Linked DNA regions of Tamandua tetradactyla. The protein of the gene in region 2 interacts with the protein of the main gene of each other region in a pairwise test. Links are inferred from orthologs where the notes say so. Each region holds a gene or a part of one and is shown on either strand. Other genes may lie near its edges.

What was found. The genes of interacting proteins can lie anywhere in the genome.
Region 1: the proteins of PPP1CA (region 2) and WBP11 interact in binary tests that used the Homo sapiens proteins (3 or more experiments, as listed by UniProt). The link is inferred for Tamandua tetradactyla from reciprocal best matches to the Homo sapiens genes PPP1CA and WBP11.

What each region holds. Positions count from the first base shown.
Region 1 is NC_135333.1:77,380,074-77,387,400, forward strand, and holds the start of WBP11 (WW domain-binding protein 11), read right to left. Parts: upstream 3,011-7,327; 5' UTR 2,692-3,010; exon of another isoform or gene 2,521-2,691; 5' UTR 1,807-2,520; exon of another isoform or gene 1,524-1,806; intron 535-1,523; 5' UTR 485-534; coding exon 421-484; intron 1-420. Other genes in the region: SMCO3 (single-pass membrane and coiled-coil domain-containing protein 3), read right to left, coding at 4,738-5,415. UniProt on the Homo sapiens protein: Activates pre-mRNA splicing. May inhibit PP1 phosphatase activity.
Region 2 is NC_135335.1:6,994,588-7,002,058, reverse strand, and holds the start of PPP1CA (serine/threonine-protein phosphatase PP1-alpha catalytic subunit), read right to left. Parts: upstream 3,011-7,471; 5' UTR 2,933-3,010; coding exon 2,878-2,932; intron 2,381-2,877; coding exon 2,249-2,380; intron 2,091-2,248; coding exon 1,860-2,090; intron 1,319-1,859; exon of another isoform or gene 1,220-1,318; coding exon 1,115-1,219; exon of another isoform or gene 693-1,114; coding exon 469-692; exon of another isoform or gene 385-468; coding exon 250-384; exon of another isoform or gene 173-249; coding exon 62-172; 3' UTR 1-61. Other genes in the region: TBC1D10C (carabin), read left to right, coding at 4,283-4,434, 5,176-5,275, 5,461-5,568, 5,652-5,758, 5,956-6,070, 6,637-6,702, 6,855-7,044. UniProt on the Homo sapiens protein: Protein phosphatase that associates with over 200 regulatory proteins to form highly specific holoenzymes which dephosphorylate hundreds of biological targets.

The DNA of each region.
Region 1 (7,327 bases), on a different chromosome or scaffold from region 2:
TACCATAACCTACTAAATGAGTGCTTATAAACCTCATCTGTTCAAATTCTAAGTATAAAAAGAAAGCTTTAAGCCAATTCTACTGTACTGCAAACCAATCAAATTTGAAACTGGTAATATAAATACTAATTTTTTTACATCTTAGAAGTTTAACTCATGTGCTCACAAGAACAATGGTTAACTTTATACAACCGATGTGTATCACTGCTGATCTTGTAATTATGCCACAATGAAATAAACAGATTCCCCAGTGCTTATACTTTTTACCACTCACAAGAACAATGGTTAACTTTCTACAACTGATGTATATCACTACTGATCTTGTAATTATGCCATAATGATATAAACAGATTCCCCAATGCTTACACTTTTTACCATTCCTTAACATTTGCTTATCATTGCACATTAATGGACACTTACGGGCCTGGTCTGTGGGGTTCATAAATTTTCCACTCTTGGTGGATGACGTAGATCTCCGTCCCATGTTTAAAATCTGTATTGTTTACTTCTTCATCAAAAAAAAAAAAAGGCAACCTGAAAATACAAATAAGTAACTTACATTTTTCTGTATTCATAATTTTTTCCCCTTTTTAGAGTACCTTAATATCTGACAAGAAATAGTCTTGATTAATTTTTTGAGAACTTGTTCTTATTCTCAAATTTAGTATCCAAGAAAGATGGCCTCAACTTTCTTGACAAGGAAAAATTAGATCTTTAACGTTCATTAGTAAGACAAAGGGTCTGAAAAGCACTGTGCATATGATTAAATCATCAATGTAGCCTTAAAAAAAAATCAATCATAACTCTGACTGTTGACTGAAAAAATCAACCACTTTCAGCAATATGGCACAAACCATGAACACCGGAAGCCATTCATTAGCCCTTTCCCTACAGCTTCCCTTTATTTATCTGTAGGATGAAAAAAAGAATAGGGGTATGGAATTTGGGCCCAAAGACAAATAGTTCACCCATGCCTATTCATAGTTTTTCTTAGCATGCATTCTCCCAACACTTCTGAGACCATAAAAAATCATTAACTGAAATATACTTCTAATTCAGATATAGCTCTTGCTTTCCAAAAATTTAAAACTAAAAATGAAAATACTCAAAATAAGCATTATATAAGGAAGCTTTCATAAACTTCCATTTTTATCGACATACATTTTCCTAACTAGTACCTACTTGATTCCTGATTTGTATTTTTAAAAATACCTAAATGTGATAATTGTGGTTGAGGGAAAATATTTTCTACGCAAAATTTTTGTTAGGCTAAGACCATATTATATCATTTCTTCCCCTATTCCAAATGAATGAGATGTAACTTTTTAAAACTCTCTTTACAATGATAAGGGTTAACAAATTTCCTCTCTTTAGAAAGCAGGCACTTTTAAAAGAGAGCCAAAGGGAAGATCATGAAGTAGATTATTTGGTAGATTATACAATTATATTCTCTCTCCCTTTACACAGGCATTGTCAGATCAGTTGATTACGGTATTACTTCTTAAAATAAATGTTCAATTAACCTGATTTCTGCTAGATGCTTCCGAGCTGTTCTAGCGGTAATGAATTTAGCCTGTCACTGTTACTTTCTCACGAAAAAAACAAAACCCACGAGTGAGGGAACAAGCAAAGTAAGTGCATATATAAGCTCTCAGATCTGCCTGTATTTCTTTTGCTTTCTTCTCTCAATTATCAGACTGATGTTTTGACCCTCTCCCACAGATTATAGTCAATCTTTACAAATACACTGGTGGGTTAGTCCGCACAAACTACTGTTTTTTTTTTTTGGTCTAAAACAGAGGCCACCTGGTAATCAGGCCACAAAACGTTGGGTAACTTGAAAATAGCCAAAAAGGTTCCCAGGGGACGGGGTCCAGGTCCGCCAAAGGAGGCAATACTAGCAGCAACTGCCGAAACTATAACGACGGTTGACCCTGACTCGAGGCTCAAGACGACGTGAAACGTAGAGCAGCCGGTCAACGTGCAGAGGAAGCCGCGCCAACCAACCTAGATAAAACTATCTCTTAAGCGCTGGAAACCGCGACGTCTCCGGCCCGGGGATCCCCCAAATTGAGACTCGAGAGACACCAACCAGGGCGAGGAAGAACGCAGAAACGGGGCCTGGAGTTCCAAGACACCCGCGCGGGCCCTAGAAGGGACGGGAAAGGTGAAAAAGCGGAGTGGAACCACCCGCACACTCACACTTCTGCTGAATTCCCGGGACTGCTAGAATTGGGGTGTGGGCGATTTCTGGCCTCTTTTACTTCGTAGGGGTCTTCACCTCAGCCCCTCGTTCAGGTAGCCAGCCACCGCCATCTTGAAAGCTCGCGCCCCTCCGCCATCGGTACGTCACTTCCTGTGTCTTCGGGTGGACGGTCTCTTACCGTTTTTCAGTCTTGGGGACCATCCAGAATACCCAAGAACACTAGGATCAAGCTCTCTTCCGCTTGGTTAAAATACTAAATTGGTTGGCTGTCTGCTAACAGCCCGCCTTTTTACGCAGTACGAAGACTCCTAGTCCTATAGGAATAATAAAAGAGAAGCTGGGGCAGATATCTAATTGGTTGATGGCAAGGCACTCCTGTTTCCCTTCCCGCCCCCCCAACGCCGGCCGTTCTGACTTAATATCCGGGGGCATCAATTATTGTGTGGACCGAGACCCGTATTTTGAACGTAGGGACGATGTCTTACGTTGATTGTATCTCCTGGGAATTGTGCTCCTTTTTGGATTTTTCCTTTTCTGGTGACTTAAGCGGATGCGGTCCTTTGGGCGCAACTCCATTTGAAAGCGAGTTGCCGAATAACGCTTGGCGCTGTGTTTGAGGCGCTTTGCTAGGGTCAGGTGGGCCCACGTGGGCGTCTGGTACATCCCGGAGTTCAGTAATGGTTTGTGAACACACAGACCCCTGAGCACATCAGTGCCTGCATTAGGGATCCAGAATGCTAATCGACAGGATTTGTTTTTTGAAGAGGAACTGAAGGATATATGTGCATTCAGTTGTACATTTACTATTGGCGAGTTTAATTTTGTTGGCTCCTTGCCTGACTGTCCTTTATGACGTCACTTACACGTTTGGAAATATTTACCATCTCTAGACGTAGTCATTTCTTTTCTATTCCCTCTTTCCCTAAAACTCCTCATTTCTCTTTCCCCCTTAAAGGTAAGCTAAAATATTGAAAAAAATTTTGCTTGGTTACTTCTGATCCTAAATTAAGTTTCCCCTGTAAGAAAACAAGTTAGATTTAGGCCAATTCTATCAATTATAAATATTTCAGAATATTTATGTTGCTGTTAATTTTTAGTAGATTAGTCAAAATGGACTTAAAGAATATAAGGTAGGCCCCTTACTTAAACTAACCTTCGTCTTAGTAGATTCACTTTTGAGGGTGAGCCACATTGTTTGCAATGAACTAAAAAAGCATTGATGGAAAGAAAGCACAAAGTACATTTGAAAAATTAAGGTCTTATGTCTAACGTTGTGACTTGAGATATGCTGAGTGTTTTAAATTTCAAGATATTTCTTGTACTTTGGGACAAGAATCAAATACAACATTCTCACAGCAGTATATTAATTTTCTTAAGTAGAGGCTAAAAGAGTCTTAATGGAATGTCACTAATTGGTGATGGGTTCAGAAAGCACTTGTATCTGTTGAACAGTTCAACTGTACCATTAGGCCTATGTAGCCTCTGAATTTTCCTGAAATTAGGTAATTAGTGGAATTAGCCAGCAAAAGCTCTGTATAGCAGAGACAGCTGCCTACTTTGTTATTATTGAAAATGAAATTAATTTCTTTTTCTCTGAAAACTCATAGGTAATAAAGGATAACATTCCCATAAATGACAATTTCTTAAAAGAGTAGGGGCTGCCTCTCCTGTATCCCAAATGCATTTTATTGGTGTATGGCTGGAGTTTTTATTTTTATGTTCCAGAGGGTTCAAATATTGACTTGCGGGATACTCGATCAGAATATCGCAAGTTGACTGCAACGGCAGAAACGGACCTTTATCTTTTTTTGGGGGGGGGGGGGGTGGTGTATGGTCTGGGAATTGAACCTGGGTCTCCCACATGAAAGGTGAGCACTCTACCCGTGCACCCCTATCTTTTTAACTTTAACTTTCAACTTCATATTTTTAATCCATCTAGATTACAGTGTGTAATTAGCAGATGATCATGGAACCGTTGCTACTATTCATTAAAACAGATTGGTACAAACCATTTTTTAGTCTCTTCCAGTTTATAGAAAATTGGATTTGATCTTATGATTGAAAATATGGTAATACTTTAATTCCAGTTGAAGGCCTACAGCTTGTGTTTAGGCAGCAGTTGCTAAGTATGTCCCCTTAGAACTAGTTGATGGCTGAAACTAATGATGGAAATGAGAATTTCTATATTCAATGTAAATTTAAGAATTTTGACTAGGGATTAGAAAAAGAAAGGGTAACTACCCCTGCTGCTCTACAATAGCGTTTGCCCCAATGTTGGTCAGGTAGAGCAAGAATTTACATAATCTTTTATTTTGAAGGCTCTAGGACCGACTGACCCAGGCATTCATTGATAAAAACAAAAAGAAACTCCAGTGCCTTAGTTTTCGCATTTCTGATCCCCACTTTCCAAACTATTTACTCAGTTTGTACCCTTTTTGGAAGTGTATGGAAAATGAACCTAATCAAGGAAGCAAAACACTATTAATGAGAAGGAAGCAGAAAAATATTCCAGTGAGAAATCAAATGCCTGTTTATTTTATTTGGTGTTCCACTGTGTTGGTGACCTCAGTAATAATATGATGATATTTTTCGGAGGCTGACTTGAACTCCACCAAATGCTTCTCATAACTTCTGATGGCTGTTTGAAGCTGTGTTTTCTCCACTGCCCCCAGGATGGCACGGAAGATCATGTCTATGCCAAGGCCAAGAACAGTAACTCCAATACTGCCAAGGAGAGAGGCACCAATTTGAGCTAGCACAGTGACCAGCTTGTTAATTATGCCCGTTGTGACACTGGAGCCCACGAGTTTAACAGCCAGTGCACTGGCTGCAGAAGTGGCTTCTCCCAGGATGACTGAAATAACCTTTTGCACTATGGCAATTTTCTCTGTCTCCCTTTCCTTAATGTCTTGAAGTTTTCTGTAAAGGTTTGGCTCTAATTTATCTTTTAGTGCTTCGTCAACCTTTTGCAATTCCTTTTGAATTTTTGTCATGGCTTGTATGATGATATCACAGTTTTCTTTGATGGTTCCATCTCTTTTCATCTCAATGGAGGCCAACTTGCATCCCAAGTGCTTATTTAGAACCCCAATAAGTTTATTGGTTGCATGGAAGCTGTCAGATAAGCAGTCAAGAAGCTGCTGGTGAAGACGATTTACTTCCTGCCGCCTCCTTGGGTTCTCTGGATAGAGAAAATCACTCTGAGCCATATTTCAAATAAGATTTCTGAAAAATAAAAAAGTAAATCCTCACTAAGAACTTAGATAAATATCTGCTGTCTGCATAGATTGGACCAGGAAATCTTTTACTCCATTGTTCTTAAAACAATTACTTTTATAAAACTTGCAGTCATTGTATGATAGATAACCTGTGTCTCAGAATATAACCCACTGATGAATAAGTTAAGGCTTTACATTTTGTGGTGGAAAGAACTCCTAGATAAGAAATGGTTATTAATAAATCTGTTTTCCAGGTAATATTTAATAGCCTAAAATTAAAACAAACTTCAATTTGGTAATAGCTTTTAATTACCAGTCTCCTTGACACCATCTCACCCACCCCCTTCTACCAGTCACCACATCAGATAGATTGCTCTACTATTTGGAGTAAATTAGTGTCAGGGCCAGAAGGCTTTAAGATCTCTTTCAGGGCTATTAATACCAAATTTCGTGTTTATATACTTGGCTATCTTAATTTACAAAATCTGTCGTATCTCTTACAGGCAAATTGTTTTACAAACCTAAGAGATATCTGAAGACAACACCCATGTGTTAAAATCTTTGGAAAAACAGGTATATCCTCTCAATAAAAGTATATATTCAAGACTCTTTGGATTGAAATTTTTCTTGAAGAGAAGGTGAGTATGATATAGGGTATAGTGCAGTTATGACTAACTATGATTCTCCACGTGCAGACATTACTTATTTAGAATGGTTTATATTGCACTTAGCCATTAATAAGATAAGCTAGCGTAGCCTCAGAGAGACAGGAGACAGTGCCATTTCACAAAAGTACTAAAGGATATGTAGGAAGATGGCACCATACAATGAATTTAATGAATCTGATTTATAATGTGATAAGATAACCTTCTTGTGCTTGTACTTCTGGTTTGCATTACCATCTAGAGGAAAAGGGAACATGCATGTTCTGAATTTATTTGGGTGAAAAATCTGTAGTTTGACTGAGCCCAGTAAGAACACACTATTAACAGACACATGTTAGTAGGCTTACTATGTGTTTTGAACTTTTTTTTTTTTTTCATTTCAACTGTTGGGAGAAAAGAAAGAGAATATGGAATCCCATAACTTTATCTGTGTGGGATCTAGCATATTTAAGCAGGCAGCATCCTGAGTAATTTGAGCCCTACCTTTTCTAGGACAATGGTTCTTAGCCCAGATATGAGGGACCTCAGAAGCATGAGATGGAGGAAAGTAAAAATGAAAATAACCTGTCTTCTAAGTCAAAGATAAAATTTGAAAATGTAAAGGGGAATTTTTTTCCAAAATGGATCAGAAAAATAACCTTATGAGTTAGATTTAGAAAAATGAAGGAAGAATAAAGATGACCATGGTCAGAAATTTATTTTTATTCACTCACACACACACATACCTTACATACACATATACATATGCATGCATATAACAGAACTTTCCACAATACAGTTTTAAAAAATAACTAGTATTTTCTACTCCCACTTACAGAAATTACTTTGTTGAGCGTCTCATTAAATATTCTCAAGAATAACTCAATAAACTCAATGTGTGGCAAACTTTAGAGAACCGCAAATTTGCACTTTCATTATTTTCTTCCAGAATTTTCCTTTAAATTTGTCTTTTTCTGGCTCCTTGTTTTCAGATTGTTTCATGTAACAGAAACTCTAGTTTTTGACTTCGGATTTAGAAGATCACCAACTATATCACTATTTAGATATTTAGGTGAGAGGAGTCTTTCTTCCTCTGAAAAAGTGGAAAATATTTCTAGCAGCTATCATATACCATTATCTGAAGGTGTAACTTGCAGAAAAGGTGTGAGGGTCTGTATACCTGAAGTTAAACAAAAAGTTCCCACACACACCCTCCTCCAAATTCGACTAACAAAGAGGAACCTGTAAAAAGAACTGAT
Region 2 (7,471 bases):
GGCAGCGTGATTTCTATACAATCAATCCATCATCTGGGGCAGAGGGGCAGGCCCGGGGCGGCTACTTCTTGGCTTTGGCGGAATTACGTGGTGGAGTGATGGGCCGGCCCCCTGGGTTCAGGCCACTGAACTGCCCGTATTTCCCCTTGTTCTTGTCAGCGGGCTTGAGGATCTAGAAAACAGACATAGCTGGTAAGGCTCACTGGGCTGAGGCCCAGGACCCTTGGTCCCTTCTTCCCCTGCACCCACCTGGAAGGAGCACATGAGGGTCTCATCCACGCTCATCATGGCACCTGCGTTGTCAAACTCGCCACAGTAGTTGGGAGCTGAGAAAAGTGTCACCAGCTGCCGCTTGGCAAAGAACTCGTAGCCATCTTCTACCACCTGGCAAGGATGGGCGTGGTCAGCCCAGCCTGTGCGGCCCTACCCAGCCCCCACTCCCTGCCCCACCCAGAGAGGCCAGCCCACCTGGTGCGCCCGGCAGATGAGGTCCAAGTCATGCTTATGCAGGAACTTAGCCACCACCTCAGCCCCAAAAGTAAAGGAGACCCCACGGTCGTTCTCGCCCCAGCCCTGCACATCCTTGTCAGGGTCCGACCACAGCAGATCGCACAGCAGACCCTGGTCAGGCACATCTGTGGGCCGCATGATCCGCCGAATCTGTTCCATGGACTGCAGGTCCGGGGACAGGCCTGCGGGGTACAGGGAGGACAGTCAACTCCTCAAACAAGCCTCAAAACCAGACCCCCTCTCCGAGGGAGCCTTTGCCAACCAGCCTCACTCTTCCTACCACCACCATCTGGCCCCTCTCCTGGACCCGTGGGGGCTCAGGCAGCCAGAGCTGGCCCTCCTTCCCTCTGCATGTCTGAGGCCCTGAGCACAGAGGCAAACCAGCCAGAGAAGCCCCTGCCCTCAAGGAACACAGCGCTTGGAAGAAAGATGAACTCCTTGAGAGCAGAATGCTGAGCACCACAAGAAACTGCCTAATGGCGGGGGTGTGGCAGTACAGCTTCCTCAAGAGAAGGCATCTAACCCCCAAGACAGCTAACGGAACTTTATTCCAGGGCCCCGGGGATGTGGCTGGGGCTTTTAGCTTCCAAGGAGGCCCTCTCACCTCCATGGCAGCAGAAGATCTTCTCGTCCACTATGGCCGCGATAGGCAGGCAGTTGAAGCAGTCGGTGAAGGTTTTCCATAGTTTAATGTTGTAGCGTCTCTTGCCTGCCCAGAGGAGGGAGATGCCGGCCTGTGAGGAGGCTGCCCGCCCCACCCGCAGCCTGGTTCTCTGAGGCGCTTTGCAGGCTGGTCAGACACAGCTGAGGGAAGAGAGTGGAAGGCGGGGAGGGCTCGCCCTCCCACCCCACCCGCACTGTGGACCACCTTCCAAGATGGAATTCAAAGCATCTCAGTCCACAGGAACCCAACAGGATCCGTAGAGTTGGCACACACACGCACCCCCCCACACACACACCTGCCCCAACCCATGAGCAGGCCAAGGTGGGGTCTGGCCTATCTCCATTTCTCTTCTGGCCAGCAGATCCCAGCCCAGCTCGACACCCTAAGTGCTTAAGCAGCGGATGTCCTGGGGGTGGGGGAGTCACCAGGCAGGGCCTTGAGGAAAAGCATTAAGAATATGGGCAGCCCTCCAGTCAGCATCCATTCACCAAACCCTTCCAAGTGCCAGGCCCCATGCCAGGAGGGCGGGGCAGCCAGAAATGAACTGAACCCGGCCCTGCAAGCTCAGTCTAGCAGGTACCTGCCAGACACTGATATGGCTAATGCCAGGCCAACAGGAGGGTCCCACAGAACAGGGATGAGCCCTTCAGGAGTCGAGCAGCCACCACACCCCGGGACCACTCACACTCATCGTAGAAGCCGTAGATGCGGTTGATGCTGGCACACTCGTGGTTCCCACGAAGCAGGAAGAAGTTCTCAGGGTACTTGATCTTATAGGCCAGCAGCAGGCAGATAGTCTCCAATGACTGCTTGCCCCGGTCCACGTAGTCCCCCAGGAAGAGGTAGTTGCTCTCCGGTGGGAAGCCGCCGTACTCAAACAGCCGCAGAAGGTCGTAGTACTGACCATGGATGTCACCTGGGACCCAGGGAATCCGGTCAGCACCAGGTGCAGTGCCTGGACTGGCTTCCTCAAGGGAGGAGGAATCCATGAACTTGGAGTGGGGGTGGTGGAGGGGTGTGGGGTGGGTAATGCCATTTTCAGGAAGCCCAAGGGGGCTGGGGCAGGGAACTCACCGCAGATCTTGAGGGGTGCCTCTAACTCCAGAAGAATGGGCTGGCTCAGGAAAATCTCCCGGGATTTGAGGCACAGACCACGGATCTCATTCTCTGTCAGCTGCACATTCTTTCCAGGCCGCGAGCCTTGCACTGGGAATGCGGAATGGGGCGTCAGGACCCCGGCCTCTGAGGTCCTGGGGAGCCAGAGGGTGGCGATATACAGGCGACCGCCCCAGGGGAACCTCTGTATTCGTCTGGGTCTCTCCCGACACCCCTCCTCGACCAGGACCTGTCTCATGCCCCCCAAAACAAGGCCCTCGAGAAAAGGGTGCGCTGGGGTCCCCCCACTCAAAACCTAATATCGCAGAACCCCTTTCCCGGGCTGGGATTCTCAGGGCTCTCCCTCACTCTAGGAGCCCCAGGCCACCGTGTGCGCTCCCGGGAGAGAGGGCTGCTTCGCGTGCCCGATCGGACCCCAGACCCCTCAGGGAGCCCGCGACAGGGGTGGGGGAGGCGGCTGGACCTCGCGGCCCGTCCCCGCCCAGTCTCCACTGGCCCCGGGAGGGGCAGGCCCGCCCGCGCGCCACTTCCGGGCTGGGCAGCGGGCCAGGGCGCGGCGGGCGCGGCCCTCCCCGGCCTCAGCCAACCTTCCAGCAGGCGCCCGATGATAGAGTCCAAGTTGAGCTTCTCGCTGTCGGACATGGCGGCGCCGCCGCTCCGGCCCTACAGCTCCGAGCCCGCAGCTGCCTCCCGCCCTCCCGCCGCCTCCTTCCGGCCTGGCTCTCCTTCCGCCCGCCCGGACCCGCCCCCGCCCCCGCCCCCCGTCGCCCGGGCCCGCCCCCCAGGCCCGCCTCCGCCCTGTGCCCCGACCCCACGCTCTAGCGCCTCTGCTGGGCAGGAGGCGCACAGGCCGCGGTAGCCCGGGGGCGGGGCCTCTGGGGGCGAGGCGGGGCTTGGCGCGACTAGGGCGGGATCTTGCTGAGGTGCTCGGGGCGGGGTTCGTGTGGGCGGGGCCAGGCCCCGCCCACAAAGAGTCGCCCAGACGCGCTCCGAGGTTAAGGGACCGGAAACGCTGTGGAAGTTGTTTTTCTCTTGCAGAGACTCGTCAGCCTTCATCAACCCTGCTCTAGGCGGAGGGTGGTATGAGCGCGTGAATAACCGCGAGGAACCCCAGCCCAGACCGCCTCCTAAAACACTGCGGGTTAAATCCTCAAAGTTTCCGGAAAAGGAAACTGAGGCTCAGAGTTAGCAAGGGGCTGGCCCAACACGGGGGACTCACGTTCGCGGAGGCCCTCATCCTTCTGAGTCTTTGTGGGGTCCAAGGACACCTGTTCCTGAACTCCAAGCCATAGTCAGGTCCTCCCGGCCTCTGTGCATGCAAAAATCTTTATGGGTCCCACAGTTACCACGTGAGAAGCACAATATGCTGTATGTGTGCCTGTTAAAAGGCTTCCCCCCTGAATATCAAACATTAAGTAAACCAGAATTCTTATTGGAGCCCTGACTTGGGTGTCTTACATACCAGGAACCTCAAAAGTGGAGGCAGCCTGGCCTCTGCCTCTGGCAGACCCTGGCCAATCACACCCCACCCAGGAACCCACCCAGCCCACGGGGAGGGAGGGAGGAGCCCACGGCCGGCCCAGGGGCTGACAGGAAGAGCCTCAGAGAGGAAGGGGTGACACCTCCCCCCCACACCTTGGGAGGGGCCCGGAGCCGGTTTGCTGTAGCTGTGGCTGAGGAGGAAGTGAGAGGAGGAGGGTCAGGTATGGCCGGGTGGGGAGCCCGGGCTGCCGGGGAGAGGGGCTGGGCCTGGGGCTCCATACAGAGGTCAGGCTTTTCTGCCACGTCAGGGCCTTCCCTCCCTCAAAAGAAGAGGGGATGTCCGGGGCTTGGCGGGATGCTCTGAAACCTGCCGGCTCCAACCCCACATTTTGGCTCTGGGGCTAGGAACTGATGGGAGCCCAGGCCCCAGGCTGGCCAGCGGCCACCCCTTAGACTGGCTCTCCCCCATGTCTTACAGCCTGAACCTGTGGCATCACAGTCGGGGGCACCATGGCCCAGGCCCTGGGGCAGGACCTGGTGCAGCCTTCCGAGCTGCAGGATGACTCCAGCTCTTTGGGGTCCGACTCTGAGCTAAGTGGACCCGGCCCGTATCGCCAGGCTGACCGCTATGGCTTCATTGGGGGCAGCTCAGCGGACCTTGGGTAAGTGGGATGGAGTGGGGTGGGGAAGCCGGGACTGAGGATGGGGTCTGGATTCCAAAGTGAGGTGTTCAAAGGTCTGGGAGGGTGTGGCAGTAGGGACTGAGCTAGACACTGAGCCAGATCACCTCTCTTCTCTCCTTCAGGTGAAACTTTAAGGTGGAAAAGGCTGGGGGGGGGGTGTGTGTTGGGGGAGGAGGGATTTGTTCCAAATGTCTCTTGTACTCCCAAACCTCCAAGGGTTTGCACCCTCTCCTGCGGCTGAACAGCCTTCCCTTTTTAGTCTCTAGCCCAGGAATCCCAGATCCAAACCATAGAACCCACAACACCTAGCCCCTCCCCAAAAGTGCAGACAGGAAAACAGAGCCAGAGACAGGTAGGAACTTGTCCAAGCAGATCAGAGACGGAACCAGAGTCAAACTCTGAATCCCTGGCTGCCAGTCCAGGATGCTGGACCAGCCAGCTTTCCCTATGAGTTATCTGTGTCCCTGTCCTGGGCAGGGTGGTTGAGGGGGAATAGCCAGCCAACCCCTCCCCCCATGCACACCCCTCAGTCTCTCTTGCTTCCGCCCATATCAGAGGCCACATCCTTTCCCATCCCCATGACAACATTGCCAGCTCTTGGTTACAGGTCATCGGCAGGAGCAGGAGCTGGGCTCAGGTGGGAGCATGGGGGGCGGTTCGCAGGAGTGGGTCCTAGGAAACAGCTGCCCGACACCTGGCTACCTATGCATGTGTCCCCAGCCCAGGTCAGGCCCCTGCAGACCTTATCCGCCAGCGGGAGATGAAGTGGGTGGAGATGACGTCACACTGGGAGAAAACCATGTCTCGCCGGTACAAGAAGGTGAGGGGGAGGGTGGCCCATTCCCCTCGGCCTGGAGCCAGCCCCTGACAAGGGCCACCCATCCCTCCAGCCCCCGCAGATGCTGCTTTTGCTCCCTGCCTGGGGGCACGGCCTGCTGGGGGCCGGCCAAGGGCAGCAGGTAAGGCTGGTGAGGTTGGCTAAGGTTGCCCCGGCCTCACCTGCAGGTAAAGATGCAGTGCCGGAAAGGTATCCCCTCAGCCCTGCGGGCGCGCTGCTGGCCCCTGCTGTGTGGGGCCCACGTGTGTAAACAGAACAGCCCCGGTACCTATCAGGTGAGCGAGTGGGCAGGGTTCCTGCCTCCCCTTCCCAGAGCCCTTTGCCATTTCTAGCCGTGACCCCCGCCTCCCCCTGACAGGAGCTGGCCTCGGCCCCCGGAGACCCACAGTGGATGGAGACCATTGGCAGGGACCTGCACCGCCAGTTCCCTCTGCACGAGATGTTTGTGTCACCTCAAGGTCATGGGTACGAGGCTGGTGATGGCCAGGGACCCCCAGGCCCCCAGCCCCAGGTCCTCTGGCCCAGCCCTCCTCCCCCTCGCCCAGCTTCACATCCTTTTATCTCAGGGGAGCCAGGAAGGCTGAGGCCTAGCACAGAGGTCACTAGAGGGTGGGCAAGGGACACCCTGGGGGACTGGCCCCTAACGGGGTCTTCTGGCACAGGCAGCAGGGGCTCCAGCAGGTTCTCAAGGCCTACACCCTGTATCGGCCAGAACAGGGCTACTGCCAGGCCCAGGGACCCGTGGCCGCCGTGCTACTCATGCACCTGCCCCCAGAGGTGAGTGACCCTTGACCTTGTTCCAGGGACCCGAGACCCTGACCCCGGAGCCCCAGTGGCCCAGGTGTCCCCCACCATGATTCTGAGCTCTGCACCCATAGCCCCCAACCCTAGGGACTCTGACCCCCAGTCCCTGTCTCAGTGACCCGGGGTCTCATGATTGCCACCTTCAGTGGCATTCAACCCCAATGACCTTGATCCCAGAAACGTGGGGGGCCCTTGACTTTATCCCCTTAAGCTCACAACTCCCGATTCTGAACCCTGCCACCATGACCTCTGACCCGAATGACTCCAGGAACCCCAGGCCTTGAACTTTGGGATGCTCCCAACCATTGACCAGTGAGCTTCAATCCTGTGACCCCCCCCTCCCCAATTCACCATCCCGAGCCATATAACTCTCGGCTCCGTAAACCCACCACCAGGCCCCCGACTGGGCCCAGGGCAGAGGCTCTGAGAGGGACCCCAGAGTCACCCCAGCTGCTTCCCAGGCTCCTGGGTCCTGCCCTGCCTGCCCCTCTGTGGGGGGCACTCACGGGCCTGTGCCTTGCCCACCCCCCACCCCCCAGGAGGCCTTTTGGTGCCTGGTACAGATCTGTGAGGTCTACCTCCCTGGCTACTATGGACCCCACATGGTGAGAGGCTGGGATGGGGGCCCCTGTGAGCGGGGATGGGGTGGGCGCTGGCGGGGGGAGCCGCCTGAGGAGGGCTGAAGCCTGGGGTTTGGGAGAGGGGTGGGGAGCGGGTGGGGCGCCGGGTGGGGAGAGGCTGATGGCTGTGGGCGCAGGAGGCCGTGCGGCTGGATGCCGAGGTGTTTGCGGCGCTGCTGCGGCGGCTGCTTCCGCGCGTGCATAGGCACCTGCAGCAGGTGGGCGTCGGGCCCCTGCTCTACCTGCCCGAGTGGTTCCTGTGCCTCTTCGCCCGCTCCCTGCCCTTCCCCACCGTGCTGCGTGTCTGGGACGCCTTCCTCAGTGAAGGTGAGTGGGCGCCAGGGCTGGAGCCTTGGGTGGGGGAGGGGGGGAGCGGGGACCCTGCCCCGGGGAGCTCAGCTGGCCGGCCCTGAATGCGCTCTGCTCTGCCCGGGCAGACCCCAGCACCTGAGAGGCCCTCCTGGGGCCCGGCTGTGATGAGGTGAGGGTGATGGCGGCGGCCACAGCACATGCAGTTGGCGCATTTGTTTGCTGCCTCCCCTCTGTGCTGGACAGGGTGCCTGGCCCTGGGGGGAGCAGGCGCAGGGGCCCAGGGCCTGTCCCTAGGAACCCCCTGGTAGGGGATGGGAAAACACAGGGAGTGGTAAGACGAATCCTGGAGGACCAGCACCAAGGGGGGCTTCCACAGAGGCAGATGGGCAGGAGCTGGGGGGCACAGCAGGTGCAGAGGCCCAGGGCCTGGGGCGAGGCCGGC